2 linked regions of the Lonchura striata genome follow. The protein of the gene in region 1 binds, or shares a complex with, the protein of each later gene. Links are inferred from orthologs where the notes say so. Each region holds a gene or a part of one and is shown on either strand. Other genes may lie near its edges.

What was found. The genes of interacting proteins can lie anywhere in the genome.
Region 2: the proteins of PTH1R (region 1) and PTH are in contact, whole or in part, in a cryo-EM structure (PDB 9JR3), measured with the Homo sapiens proteins. The link is inferred for Lonchura striata from reciprocal best matches to the Homo sapiens genes PTH1R and PTH. Residues at the interface, in NP_000307.1 of Homo sapiens: Val31, Met32, Thr33, Lys34, Glu35, Gln37, Ile38, Leu41, Glu111, Trp112, Asp113, His114, Ile115, Ile135, Tyr136, Asp137, Phe138, Arg146, Arg162, Thr163, Ala165, Tyr167, Val171, Leu174, Thr175, Glu177, Glu180, Arg181, Phe184, Leu187; in NP_000306.1 of Homo sapiens: Ser32, Val33, Ser34, Glu35, Ile36, Gln37, Leu38, Met39, His40, Asn41, Leu42, Gly43, Lys44, His45, Leu46, Asn47, Glu50, Arg51, Val52, Glu53, Trp54, Leu55, Arg56, Lys58, Leu59, Asp61, Val62, His63, Asn64, Phe65.

The regions. Positions count from the first base shown.
Region 1 is NC_134603.1:155,828,936-155,836,451, reverse strand, and holds the start of PTH1R (parathyroid hormone/parathyroid hormone-related peptide receptor), read right to left. Parts: upstream 3,005-7,516; 5' UTR 2,635-3,004; coding exon 2,560-2,634; intron 1-2,559.
Region 2 is NC_134608.1:58,837,842-58,844,451, forward strand, and holds PTH (parathyroid hormone), read right to left. Parts: upstream 1,616-6,610; 5' UTR 1,607-1,615; coding exon 1,521-1,606; exon of another isoform or gene 784-1,520; coding exon 522-783; downstream 1-521. UniProt on the Homo sapiens protein: Parathyroid hormone elevates calcium level by dissolving the salts in bone and preventing their renal excretion. Acts by binding to its receptor, PTH1R, activating G protein-coupled receptor signaling.

The DNA of each region.
Region 1 (7,516 bases):
ATAATAAATATTACTAACACATTTCGTAATAAATAATAATAATAATAACAAACGTTAGGATAAATCCATAAAATCTCTCCCTGCTGACCACCCTCGATCCCATTCCTTCTTTCCAGAGTCCCTTTAAAAATCCAATTAGCTGGAAAAAGAAGCAACAACTCTGGGAAAATCCAGGCTGGAGGCGATTCTTGGATGGGGGTGACAGGGGGTGACATTATCCTGCCTAAGGGGGACACTCGGGATCTCAGCGGCTCCCGGACTGTCAGGATGGATTTGGAACCATCTGGGAATTCCTTTTGCTGTCAAGATCGGTTGGAAAAGCAAGGGAAGTGTCTAAACCGGGAATTTAAACCTGGCCTAGCTAAACTGAGCAGGAATTGGAGCAGCAGGACCTGAAACCAGTAAAAATCCGAGTTGGGAAGGATCCATGGGATCGGCAAATCCAGGTCCAGGAGGGGTTTTAGGGAAACTCCTGTGCTTTCCCAGCAAATCCCATGGATTTCGCAGCCCTCTGGGATTCTGGCAGAGCTCATTCCCAATTTTTGCCAGGTCCAGCTCACCCTGAGCCGGCGCTGGGGACGTGGGGGCACCTCCCAGCTCATCCCTTGGGATGGGGGATCCCAAAGAAATCCCACTGTGGATTACAGGCAGCAGATACTGGGAGAGAGGAGTGAGCTGGGACTGGGAATAATGGGAATGGGAATGGGAATAATGGGAATGGGAACAGGAACGGGAATGGGAATAATGGGAATGGGAATAATGAGAATAATGAGAATAATGGGAATGGGAAGAATGGGAATAATGGGAATAATGAGAATAATGGGGATAATGGTAATGATGGGAATGGGAATAATGGGAATGGGAATGGGAATAAAGAGAATAATGGGGATAATGGGAATAATGGGAATGGGAGATGCAGCCTTGCCCAGGTTTTTTGCACCCTGAAACTCCCCCAGCTCCAGCCTGGCTGGTTCCCAATCCTGATTTTCCCAGCCCCAAAGCAGCAGGAATTGCAGGAGTTCTGGAGCAGGAGGCAGCAGGTGCTGCAGGACCTGGACACAGCCCCAAGGTCAGGAGATGCTGATCCAGCCCTGGAATTTGGGAAAAGCCTCATCCATCCCTGAAATCCCAACAAATCTCCAAGTGGTTCTCCTGATCTCCCCAGTTTTCTTTGGGTTTTGGGAGGTTTCTCCACACACCAAACAGGGATGGGCTCAGGCAGGGATCGTTTTCCAAGGGGCTGTTCCTTCTCATTTAGCGAGGAGAAATTTCCCACTGGAAAAGCTGGAAAATCCCCCCACAGCTCTGTGCAAGATTCCAAACTGTCAAATCCAGGGAGAAGGCCCAGGCTGGTGGATCCTAAAGGGACAGGAGGGACCTGACTGGAGCCAGGATGGTCCTGATCCTGATCCTGATCCTGATCCCAATCCCGATCCCGATCCCGATCCCAATCCTATTTCCATCCCTCCTGGAGAGCAGATCCCACTTCCCATGGGTGTCCTGCTCCTTCCTGGAAAACGCTGGGAAATGGGAACAGGAGTGAGAATCCCAGGGATGGGGAGAGCCAGCAGAGCTCCTGTCACAGGGAATTCCAGCACTGGCTCCACATCCAGCAGCTGATTCCCAAGGAAATGTCCCTTCCCTGCTTCCTGGAGGTTTCGGAGCTGCAGGTCTCACACCATTGCCCAGTTTGGATGGATTTATCCCGGTTTTCCAGCCTTGGGAAGCCTGGTGTGTGCAGGAAGGGGTGGAAAGTGCCAAGGTGCAAGGGGTTCCTACAACTTCCCTGTTTTTCCCAAATTGAATTCCAAAGGAGAGGCTCAGTTTCATTGGGATTAAGGAGATTTGCAGGGAAAGGAGAATTGGGAACGAAATTGTCTTGGAGGGGGTGGAGAGGAAGGGATGGGAAAGGGAGGAAGAAGAAGGAGAAGGGGAAGGGAAAAGAAAAGGAAGAAGGAAAAGAGGAAGGTAAGAAAAAGGAAAAGGTGGAGGAAAGGGGAAAAGGGAAGGGAAGGGAAGGGAAGGGAAGGGAAGGGAAGGGAAGGGAAGGGAAGGGAAGGGAAGGGAAGGGAAGAGAAAAAGTGAAGGGAAAAGGAATAAATAGAAAGGAAAAAAATGAAAGAAAAAGGAATGAGAAAAAAAAGGAAGAAAAAGAGAAAAAATGAAAGATAAATGAAAAAAATAAAAGCAGAATAAGAAATCAAAAAAGGGGAAAAATATGAAAAAGGAAGCAAAGTTGTCGTTTCTCCATAGGCAGATCCCGAAATTGTGCCCCAAACGCTGTCCCGGATCCCTGTCAAGCCTCCCTCGTCCTGCCCTGAGCTTTCCAAGCGATCCCAACTCTGGGAAGCACAGACATTTTCACTGCAGCGCTCACAGCCCCGCCAGCGGCTCCCAACACCCCCAAACCAGCTTTTTAATCCTTCATCCCTTCATTTCTCCCTCCTGGCGGCAGGATCCGCACGGATCCTGCGGGAAAAACCACGGGGGGAGGAAAAAAAAAAACAAAAAAAAGGAAAAAAAGGCAAAAAAAAAAAAAAAAGAAAAAGCGGGACTCACCAGCGCGTAGACGGAGCTGAGCACGGAGCAGCAGAGGATCAAACCCAGGCTGGGATACAGCAGAGATGATCCCATATCCAAGGGGCTGTTCCAGCATCCAGCCTCGCGCAGGGAAGCGCCAGGAGGCGAGCTCGGAATTCCAGCGGCGCGGCTTTTTCCTCGTCCTCCCCGGCGTGCGCCCGGATCCGCGGGATTTTGGCTCCTTCGGCTCCCCAGCTTTCAGCCAGAGAGGCACACGACGAGAGATCCCGGGGCTTTTCCTCGTTTTCTCATGGCTGGAGTGGCGGGCAGCTCCCAAAATTCCGCCGCGGAGCCCATGGGGAGAGGCAGCCGCGGCTCCCGGTGCCGCTGGATCATCTGGGAGAGAGCTGGGAAATCACATCCATATGGGCCCGGCTGCGCCTCGGGATCCCGAGTTTCTGCGGCTCCGGGAAGTTCAAATCATTTCTTTGTCAAACGCAAACACGGAGAGGGAGGGAAGGAGGGAAGGAGGGAGGGAGCAGGGAGAGGGCTGGAAGGGGTGGGAGATGCCAGAGGGAGGGGGAACCTTCAACCACCGCTTTATTTTTAGCCGCAGTAATTTTATCTTTTCGCTCGCCGAGGGGACAAAAAAACCCCAAACTTCCCCCCCCCCCCCCCCCCCCGCCCTCCGTCCCTTTTATTTTTGGGGTTTTTATTTTTTTTTCTTTTTTTTTGTTGCCTCTCCTCCTCTCTGCCGCACGCAAACAAATCCCAAATTTCCAAAACGCCTCAAAAGTTGGGAATGTTTTCCCTCCGCTGTCGCCTTTGGGGCAGCGGCGGCGCTGGGGAGGTTTTGCTCGGCTGTCCCAAAAAGTTGGTTCTGCCAGGCAGGGAATTCTCTATTTTTAGGGGAAAATCGGAGATTTTTGGCTTCTCTCTTCCTCTCTGCCTCCAAGGAGCTGCAGTTTGGAAAAGACGATTGCAAACGTGGGGCTGAAAATTCCCATTCCCTCTTTCCACCCCTTTCCCGTCCTTTATTTTAGGATTTTTTTTTTTAAATTTACCCCCCTCCCCGGAGCAAAAGCGCTTTGCCCTCACTCCGAAATTCACTGAAATCCTCGGCATTTGGGGCTATTTTGATTTTGGGATTTATTTATTTTTTTTTTCACCCACATGGGCGCAGAGTTTTCCGGGAGATCCCAGGATCCCTGAAAACCGGGAAAAGGGTTGGGATATCACTCCCGGCTCAGCCGGGAGCTTTCATTCATAAAACTCCGCTGCGAAAAAAAAAAAAAATATTAAAAAAATCCAACCCACCCTCTCTTCCCCCAGAGCGAGCTGTGTGTGTGTGTGGGGGATTATTTGGGAATTGCGGCGGGATCCAGCATTCCCTGCTGGTTTTTCCATGCTGGGAAGAGAAGCGAGGCTGGGAAAGGGTTACAAGCCCTGCCAGGGATGCACCACGCGGGCAAACACGGAGAGGCGCCGGGCTCGGGGCTGACTCACTCAACTTTAAAAATCAATCTCGGAGCGATTTTTTTGGGTCGTTTTCCCCCTTTCTTCCCCTTTATTTCCCGCTTTTCTCGCGGATATTTAGGAGCTGAGGAGCGAAAAATTCCAGTCTCTCCTCTCTCGGGGAGCAGACGGTAAAAACATCAAATTTTCGCTGCGAGCATTTCTGGGTTATTTTTTAGGAGCGCCGAAAAAAAAAAAAAAAAAAAAAAAAGAGCGAGAGGGAGAGCGAAAAAAAAAAAAAAAAGAAATAAACCCCAAACTCTCCGCTTGCTCGGTGCTCGGGTTGGGTTTTTTTTAAATCCTTATTTTTTTTTTTTTTCCCAGCTCCATGGCCGTGAATGGGAGCCTTGAGCTGGGTTTATGAAAGGCTCTTTCCAAGCGAAGGTAGAGTTGGGCTTCCTGTGAGAGGCAGAGAGGGGAAGGGATGAAAAAGGGCCGCTCTTGGTGCGATCTCTGCCTCCTCCTCTTCCTCCGCCTCCTCCTCCGCCTTCCCCTCGCCCTGGAATCCCGAAGGATCTCCCGGGCGGGGGGGATCACGCAGGGGTGAACCCCCCGATCCCGGTGGGGATTGCAGCGGATCCGGGGCAAATGGATTGGGAGTGAAGGGGGGGTCTGAATTCATCCCATTGCGTCCCATCCCATGGGTCCCGTCCCACTGCATCCCACTGCATCCCATCCCATGGATTCCATCCCATGGATCCCGTCCCACTGCATCCCACTGCATCCCATCCCGTGGATCCCATCCCATGGATCCCGTCCCACTGCATCCCACTGCATCCCATCCCATGGATCCCATCCCATGGATCCCGTCCCACTGCATCCCACTGCATCCCATCCCATGGATTCCATCCCATGGATCCCGTCCCACTGCATCCCACTGCATCCCATCCTGTGGATCCCATCCCATGGATCCCGTCCCACTGCATCCCACTGCATCCCATCCTGTGGATCCCATCCCATGGATCCCGTCCCACTGCATCCCACTGCATCCCATCCCATGGATCCCATCCCATGGATCCCATCCCACTGCATCCCACTGCATCCCATCCCATGGATCCCGTCCCACTGTATCCCATTGCATTCCATCCCATGGATGCTGTCCCATGGATCTCATTGCATTCCATCCCATGGATCTCATTGCATGCCACCCCATGGATCCCGTCCCACGGATGCCATCCCATGGATCTCATTAAATCCCATCCTATGGATCACATCCCATGGATCCCATCCCGTCCCATCCCATAGATCTCATTGCAAACCACCCCATGGATCTCGTCCCACTGTATCCCATTGCATTCCATCCCATGGGTCCCATCCCATGGATCCCATTGCATCCCACCCCATGGATCCCACCCCATGGATCCCATCCCATGGATGCCATCCCATGGATCCCATTGCATCCCATTGCATCCCATTGCATCCCATTGCATCCCACCCCATCTCCATCCCCATCCCATCACATCCCATCCCATCCCATCGCATCCCATCCCATCCCATCCCATCCCACCCCATCTCCATCCCCATCCCATCACATCCCATCCCATCCCATTGCATCCCATCCCATCCCATCCCATCCCATCCCATCCCATCCCATCCCATCCCATCCCATCCCATCCCATCCCATCCCATCCCATCCCATCCCATCCCATCCCATCCCATCCCAGGGGAGCGGGATTGGCCTGGAGGGTGCTGAGGGATTTCCGAGCAGTTCTCCCCCACACTCCTCCCACCCCATTCCCATTCCAGCTGGATCCCAAATCTGCTTTTCCAGCAGCGATTCCAAAGTTATTCATTAGGGAGAGCGGGGAAGGCTGAGGGGAATTTGGGAATTTTGGGGCAGCTATTCCCACCGCTGCTGGGGATTTTGTGGGATCTGGCTGCTTTTCCCACTGAGGGAGGCCTGGGACTGGGGAAATCCTTCCCAGGGATTCCCAGGATCTGTGTGGGTTTAGGGACACAGGGATCCACAGGCCTTGGGAAAAGGGGGAAAAACTCCCCTGCAGCATTCCAGGGGCTCCGTGGTGGATGTTTCCCTGGAGAGAGGGGGAAGAAGGGAAAATCGAATTTCTAAAGTTCTCATTAAAAATGAGGATTTTATTGGGGCCTTGTCCAGAGATTCCAGTGCCAGGAGGGGATGGGAATAAACTGGGATCCGAGATGGTTTGGGAATGGCTGCATCCAGGTTTTTGGTGTCCCCTCTGTGTCCAGGGATTGATCCGGGGATGCCTCTGATCCTGTTTGGTTTTCTACATATTTTGTAATTTAGAGAGATTTCGTTATTTAGAGATATTTCATTATTTATTTATTTATTTATTTATTTATTTATAATGAATTAATTTAGTTATTTCAAATGTGTTTATTTAGAAGTTATTTCAAATTTAATCATTATTCATTTAATTTATAAATTTATTTTAGTGCTATTTATTTTATTCATTTATTTAATTTATTTCTTTAAACGTCCTCTATTATTTCCATATCTACATTTTTTTTTATTCCTCCCCCAAACTGAAGGGATCAAAGGGAGATAACGCTGAACTGCTGGAGCTGCACAAGAAACAATTCCCAGTTTAACCCTTGCACAAGACTGGGAATTTTCCCAGTTTAACCCTGGCATAAAACTGGGAATTTTCCCAGCTTAACCCTGGTATAAAACTGGGAATTTTCCCTATTTAACCCTTGCACAAGAAAGGAATTTTTTTATGCCAGGGAATTTAACCCTGGCATAAAACTGGGAAATTTTCCCAGTTTAACCCTTGCACAAGACTGGGAATTTTACCAGTTTAACCCTGGCATGAAACTTGGAATTTCCCCAGTTTAACCCTGGTATAAAACTGGCAATTTTCCTAGTTTAACCCTGGTATAAAACTGGCAATTTTCCCGGTTTAACCCCGGCATTAAACTGGGAATTTTCCCAGTTTAACCCTGGCATAATACTGGGAATTTTTCCAGTTTAACCCTGGCATAAAACTGGATTTTTTTTTCAGTTTAACCCTTGCACAAGACTGGGAATTTTCCCACTTTAACCCTGGCATGAAACTGGAATTTTTTTCAGTTTAACCCTTGCACAAGACTGGGAATTTTCCCACTTTAACCCTGGCAACAAAGGGAATTTTTCCCAGTTTAACCCTGGCACAAGAAGCTCTTCTGGGATATCTGCCCCTGACTCCAAGACTGAGAAATTTTGGATCCCTTTTATCCACAAAAATCCAAACTAACTCCTCAGGTTCCTTAGATCCAAAGTCCTCCCTGGCCAGATCCAACAGCCAGGGAATTAATAATTCCCCCATTTCCTCCTGGAAAAATGGGAATTACAGGGCCTGGAGTGATTCTTTGGTGGCATGAGCTTCAAATCCAGTCCAGCCAGGTGGATTTTTTCCAGGAAATCCTTTTCCCAAACACTCAGAGAGAGGGAAGGCTGGACAATTCCCACCCTTCTTCTTGGATCCGTGGGAATTAGGGTTTGATTCCCAGATCTGCATCG
Region 2 (6,610 bases), on another chromosome or scaffold:
AATTATTATCATGCAGCTTTTGCTGTGTACTTAATGTTAATCTGATTTTAGGCCTTCTTCTGAAAATAGATGTGGGTTTAATTCATGTATTTCCATTAGTACAAAGTTAAACAAAGTTTAACCCTAAGCCATTTTCTGGAGACAGTCTCCCCTGCATTTATTCCTTCCTGGTTAACAGTACAAGCAGGCTTGGTGATTACACACAAATACTGCCCATGTAAGAGTTGTAGAACTGGCCTTAAATGGTTTTCCAGCTTTCTTACTGATCTGGGTTTATTTTTCCTTTCATGCTGGCAATTTATAAGATACATCAGCCAAAATGCCCCCAGCAGTGGTCCTGGGTAGACTGTAAATACATTCTATAATTTGCTTGTAAAATACCTCACTCAGAGGGACTACAGCCTTGAACAAAGCCTTTAATCCTTACTGCAGCTGGAATAAATATGAATGAAATGCCCTACTTGATCAACGCTACACGGACAGTGCTCACGTGGACAGACACAGCGCTCTGGCTGCTCTCCCTAGGGCTTTGTTTTAAAGAGGACATCCATGTAAGCCTTGTCCAGATCCACGGATTTCTTCTGCCCTGCTGCCCGCAGGCGCTCCGGGAGCAGCCTCCGGCCCAGCACGACGTCGTCCTTGCTCCGAGGCCTCTGGGTGCGAGCGTCCTCCAGGGCGCTGTGCACGTCCTGCAGCTTCATCTGCAGCCAGTCCTGCCTCTCCACCGCGTGCCGGTGCTCGCCCAGGTTGTGCATCAACTGCATCTCGCTCACCGACCTTCTCCTGCAGCAAAGCAAAGCAAAGACAGGCCCGTGGGAGCCCTTCTTGGGTTCCAGACCTCGCCTCAAAGGCCCAGCTTTGGGAACTTTTGTAAGGAATCACAGTACATAGCTGTAGGAGCTGCCTGGCTGATCTGTAGGGCATAGAATGACATCTGGAGAAGAGAGGGAGGGTGGGTGGTGATTTGTTATTGGTAATGGATGTATCAGTGAGAAGGCATCGCAAGTGGGAAGTAGTTCAGTTTTGTGACAATATTGCTTCTATAATTTAGTTCAGCTATTGTAGAGGAGCTTAGGACTTTTACAATGTTAGATATGTGATCAATGAATCCATGGCATTTATTCAGTGGTAGTTTTCTGTGATCACTAAAGCTAAGGAAGCATGATTCCCTGTGGATTTGTGTCTCAGCTGGTAGATGTTAGTGCCTAAGTGTGAGTTTCAGCTGGATTCTCTCAGCACGAAAGATGTTCACTTGTGTAGACCCCCAAGACATGGAGCTTATCCAACTTAAATAATAAGAGAAGACTTACATGATGTATATCCCTCTACTCAGCTGCCTATTTTCAAAAAATATATATACAGAGTGCCTGAGATCTCCACAGCTATTTCCAGAGAACAGAGTTTGGCCAGCTTGGCTGAAGGGTTCAAAAGGAGGGACAGAACTCACACACATATGCAAAGACAAACCACCACATTCTCAGGAGCAGCAAAAGCCATTTAGTGTGAGACAATATACTTACACCATTGGTCTTCCATCAGAGGTTGTAAAAAAGCACATGGCACATAAAATGATTGCAGCCTGGGCCAGGTTTCTTATAGAAGTCATTTTGTCTACAAAGATAGAAATGAATACATGTAAAGTCTGTAATTCAAGTTATTTCTGTTTGTTCCAAACATACTGAAATTAGGAAAAAAGTTGAAAAACTCAGACAAGAGTTTTTGAAAAATCTTTTTTGTGAAACGAGTTAGAGCAAGGAATGCAAATGAAGGATTTACTTCTAATACTCATTTTGTGAGCAACTTATTGTACTTCCTGGGCAACTCCATTAATTTTGGTCAGCTTTAGCTGCCCTGCATTATCATTATCATTATCATTATCATCATCATCATCATCTAGGTACCTATCTCTTGCATAATTGGGTGAAAAGCACCACAGTCTTCCAATATTATTGTTATAGTCATCACCATCATCATTATGAATTTGGAGCCTTCAAGTCCAGTGAAATACTTATGTATAGCTATTCAAATGAAAAATTTTATAGAATAAAACTTTCTCTATTTCTCTATTTCTTCCGTGTATTCTTTAGAATGAAGAGGGTGACACTTTCCCTGAAAATTTTGCATAAAGGCATAACTCTACTGAGTTACCCCAGTCCCTACTGAGTTGCAGAAGAAAAATCAGAATTAAGCCCCTCATTTTATCAGGGATAATCCTGCATTTCCCCTCTGAGTTTTACATCATTGGCAGAACTGCCATTTGGAATATATTTAGAAAATATTTACCACTGATGATGCTACAACAGGCAAAACAGCACAGTTCCAATACCAGTTTCTAGTCTGGATTTTCAGTATCGGCAGGCAAAAAAGGCATCTTTTTGTTACCACTTAAGAAATTTGATACAGTGTAACTGAAACCTAAAGAGGTATAAAACTCCACAATGCCATTTTTTGCAATAGTTTCTGCAGCTTTGCTCTAGGTCAGAAAAGCATTTATAATATGGTCTCTTACATGACCATATCAGTGAGGTCCTGGCAGTCCATCCAACACAAGATTATAAATTCAGGACTTGAATTCACTTTAAGATATTTCCCGTTCACTGTCTCTGACTTTTTAATTTCACAAATTTAGTTTAGATAGCAGAACAGTTTGATCTTACTAATACTCACTTTTTAATAGTCTGAAAAGAAACTAACACAAAAATGGGTAAAGAATTGTCAAGAATCAATGATAAAATATTCTAGTAAGTCTTCCAGAGAACTTGGAAAAAAGAAGAGTATACTTACCAGATAGAATGTTTAAGAGATTTCTGGCTTGGGTATGTCAGCAGATGACTGTCTCTTGATGTCAAGTATATTTAAAGACCACTGAATTGGTTTAGTGGACCCCTTAAATGTAACTTTAAAATAGAGCTTCTAAGTAACTTGGAAGCCCTTTTATTGTCTCAGTTGATGTCACTGTCACACACACCCTCCTGACCCTCATGTACCCACCCTCAGATGCTTTCGTTGATTTGACATTTCACTTACAGGGTAAAGAGGCCTCAACAGAAAGTCAGTCCTGGGAAGCTGTGAGGAAGTTTGACTTTTAAATTCAGAATTTTGCCCAAGATAACGTGAGCTCAGAAGCTGTTGGAAGGATTTGCAAAGAAAACTTTGAGTTGTTAAATGCAGGCAGGTAAAACTTAAATGAGACAGTAAGGTTAGTGATCTACAAGTGAAAGATTGCAACTAAATATTTTTACAAACTACTAAAAAGATAATACTTATAATACTTGTGGGAAATAAGAATAGTCTCTCCAGATCAGATATAAAGTTTATTTACTAGTAAGGAGCAGAGGCCCCAAGAATGATAAAGTTTTTAATGAGAAGTTGGTGCCACTGAAAAGTTGCTGAAATGGTGTTAGACCTTCACTGCTCTGCTTTACCTATATCTGTGAATAGCACTGAGTATACCAAATGTACTAAGCAGAATGAAGGCATTTGAAGCAGCTGAGATAAAAACTATTACTTTATAAATTTGGTGAAAGAAATATAGAATTCTGCCTGCTTTCTAAGACGTGAAATGTGTAAATCAGCAGTATTTTCCCATATACATGAAGAAAGATTATTTTTGCTGCAAGATATTTTTTCCTGTTAGCTGCTTCTTCTGACTTCCAGTGTATTTCTCCCCCAAAACCCAAGCAAGCATCCACAAACAAAAAACATTTTGCACCTGCACATTGTAACCCAGAATTTTTAAGACATTATTGCTTTTACATTAATGCTTTTTGCTTATGTTACAGTTCTGTTGTATCTCATAAAGAGTTGTAGAATTATGTGGGGAAAGGGAGGGGAGAACCAAAAACTCCAAAAAGCTCTAGAGATCTCATGGTTCCCTCAGTCTATAGATTAGTGAGTAAACTGAGAATTAATGAAGCAATTCACTTGAACAAGTTCAGGAAAACAGAGTAAAGACAACTTACAGCATTTTATTGTCAGCTGGCAATATCCTTTCCTTATATGCAGCATACAGGGGCTCATGGGAATATGTTTTATTGGGAGATTTGGATCTCCTGGAAACACCAGGATATTAACCTGAAGGCTAAAACATGACTAAACTATTACAAGAGGATATTCCTAGGTATGATGTGACTAAAAATGTACAGTGGAATGGCATAACAGGCAAGGATTTTAGTCCCCATGCAGTTGATAATGGAAAGCTCCCTTTTTTTAGATTTTACTCTAATGTATTCAAAACCTTTAATGAATCTCTCAAGGTAATTTTTTTACAGAAGCCTGGCATTCATATAGAACCTTTAGCATGTGACAGCAAAGGCTGAAGTAAAGGACAAGTGTTAGAAAATTAAGTGTCATTTTTATTCAATGGTTGTGATGGGTCGTACCTGAAATTTCAAACAAAGATGGCTTAATACCTTGATGCCTTGAAAAAGATACAGCTTATTTCAGGAGAGAGAAGACACAAAAATAAAAATATTCAGTATGTGCCCGTTATTTGTAAACAAATAGAGCCTATGATGGTAATTAAAGAAATTTTATGTGCCAGCTCAAAATGGGCATTGGTTTACATGCAGAAAAAAATAACTTACTTGATTTGGATTATTCTCTCTCATATCCAAAAATTACATTATTTGAAAATACAGCTGCTAATAAATTATCCAATGTCATCCCTGTTTGCCAAACTTGGCATATCAAAAGTGGGAATGACAGATAATGGACCAAATGAATGTACTTTTTTTTACCACATACTGTAATTGTTTGCACTTTTGTTTGGACACAGTGTATCCAGTGTTTAATGAGGAGCTGAAAATAGTATTGAGCTCTTTTAATGTTTCAGTCAGAGGATGATTCATGTTCAGATTCAAATTTTTCCCCGTCTTAAGCATCCTTTTAAAAATTCAGAGCACTACTGAACTGATCCCAGGAAACCAGGGCTAACAGCTGCTGAGCTGCTGTTCAGTAAGAGGCTCAAGACTATTCAAATTTATAGGCATTACCACAAAAAAAGAAACAACAGATAGGAAATCAAAATATTATCTCTTCAATTGAAAGGTATTTAATGATATTTTGTATGTATAGGACTGTGCACATAAATACAAAGGCAAAGTATGGATGAAAAATCTGCAGGTTCTTAGGAATTCTTTGTGCCTACAAACGAGACCTGACCTATAGAAGACAATTTTTGCTCCTCTTGGAGTAAGAAGAGGAAAAACACAGTGGATTCTGAGTTTCCAAAGGGAGCATGAGCACCTTTTTAGCCTGAAATACAAAGATATTTAAAAGATTTTAGTTCACATGTGTAACAATTTCTTCATGTGCAGCAGCAAACTTTCTCAGGCTAGACCTAAGCTTGAGTAGGGTGTTGTCTTCTACCTTCAGATAAACTCACAGAATGCTATATGGGAATGAGACAATATAATAATACATTCTCAAAAGTTTATTACAGGAAAGGCTTATCCAAATGCCTTTGGAGAAGGCATTACAGACACCAGGCAGGGGCATGACATTTCTAAGGATGAGGGAGAGGCCTAAAAAACCAAAGGTGCTGGAGCCACAGTGTGGGAGGGAAGAGCTGACCACAGCCTTTTCCTCTAACAAGAGATTTTCTTGATCAGCCAGCAACCTACCCTTCCCTGACCTTCCCTTATAGATGGTACAGATACCTGAACCAATTGGGCATGAAGAAATCTCTGTTGCTTTGTTTGCAGCTGCTGTGCCACTGACGTTGAATTTGTGCCATTGGATGTAATCAGACTTCAGGGCTGAAAACAAGGGGAAAGCAATGAGACAGATTTTACAGCCAGGTAGGTGAACAACAACGATATTGCAAAAATTCTGAATTATTTTAAAACTTTTTTTTGCATATTCTATTCATTTTGTCATAGGAAAATATTATACCACATCTTGAAATTAAACCCATCCTGAGGTACATCACTGCAATATGGTTAAAGGACACAAAACTTTCTAGAATTGTACTGTTTAGTGACTAAAGCACATTTTCAAAAATTAATTATGTAATCTGGTGTATTAATATTCCTACATAATTCTCCATTCTGTAGATTTAATACTTCAGAGCTGCAGTGAGATTCCTGTAGTGCTATTTCTAATAGCAGGCTTTTCCCATACTGCTTGTTCCAGAGGGTATTTCCAGATAAAATACTTTATAACTGCAACTATGGCTTAAAGAATATTAGTAGGTCATCGAGCAGGGAAGAAAAGTAATTGATGACACACTGGATGATTGGTGAGGCAACTTTCTAAATGTGTCCAAGGAATGTTTGAGTCTTGACACAATGAAAAGCCAAACTGGCAGTCAGTAAACTCCTTAGGACTTTATTTGATTGACAAGATTTGTGGCTTTTCAAATACCACAGCAGCACGTCTGGTAATTTATGTAAGCAATGTTGGGCATCTTCAGGTGGGTTTTGGGTTCATGCAGCCAGATGAAGCTTCAAGCCCATGACAGTTTCCAACTGGATAAAAAATAGCACAAGGATTTCTCAAAACATCACCTATCACAGTTCTAGTTTGTGTCCAGTCTTCATGCAATTTGGTTTTAGCAGCTACTGGCAACTCTGCATTTGGATATAATTGCTTACCAGTATATCTTTTC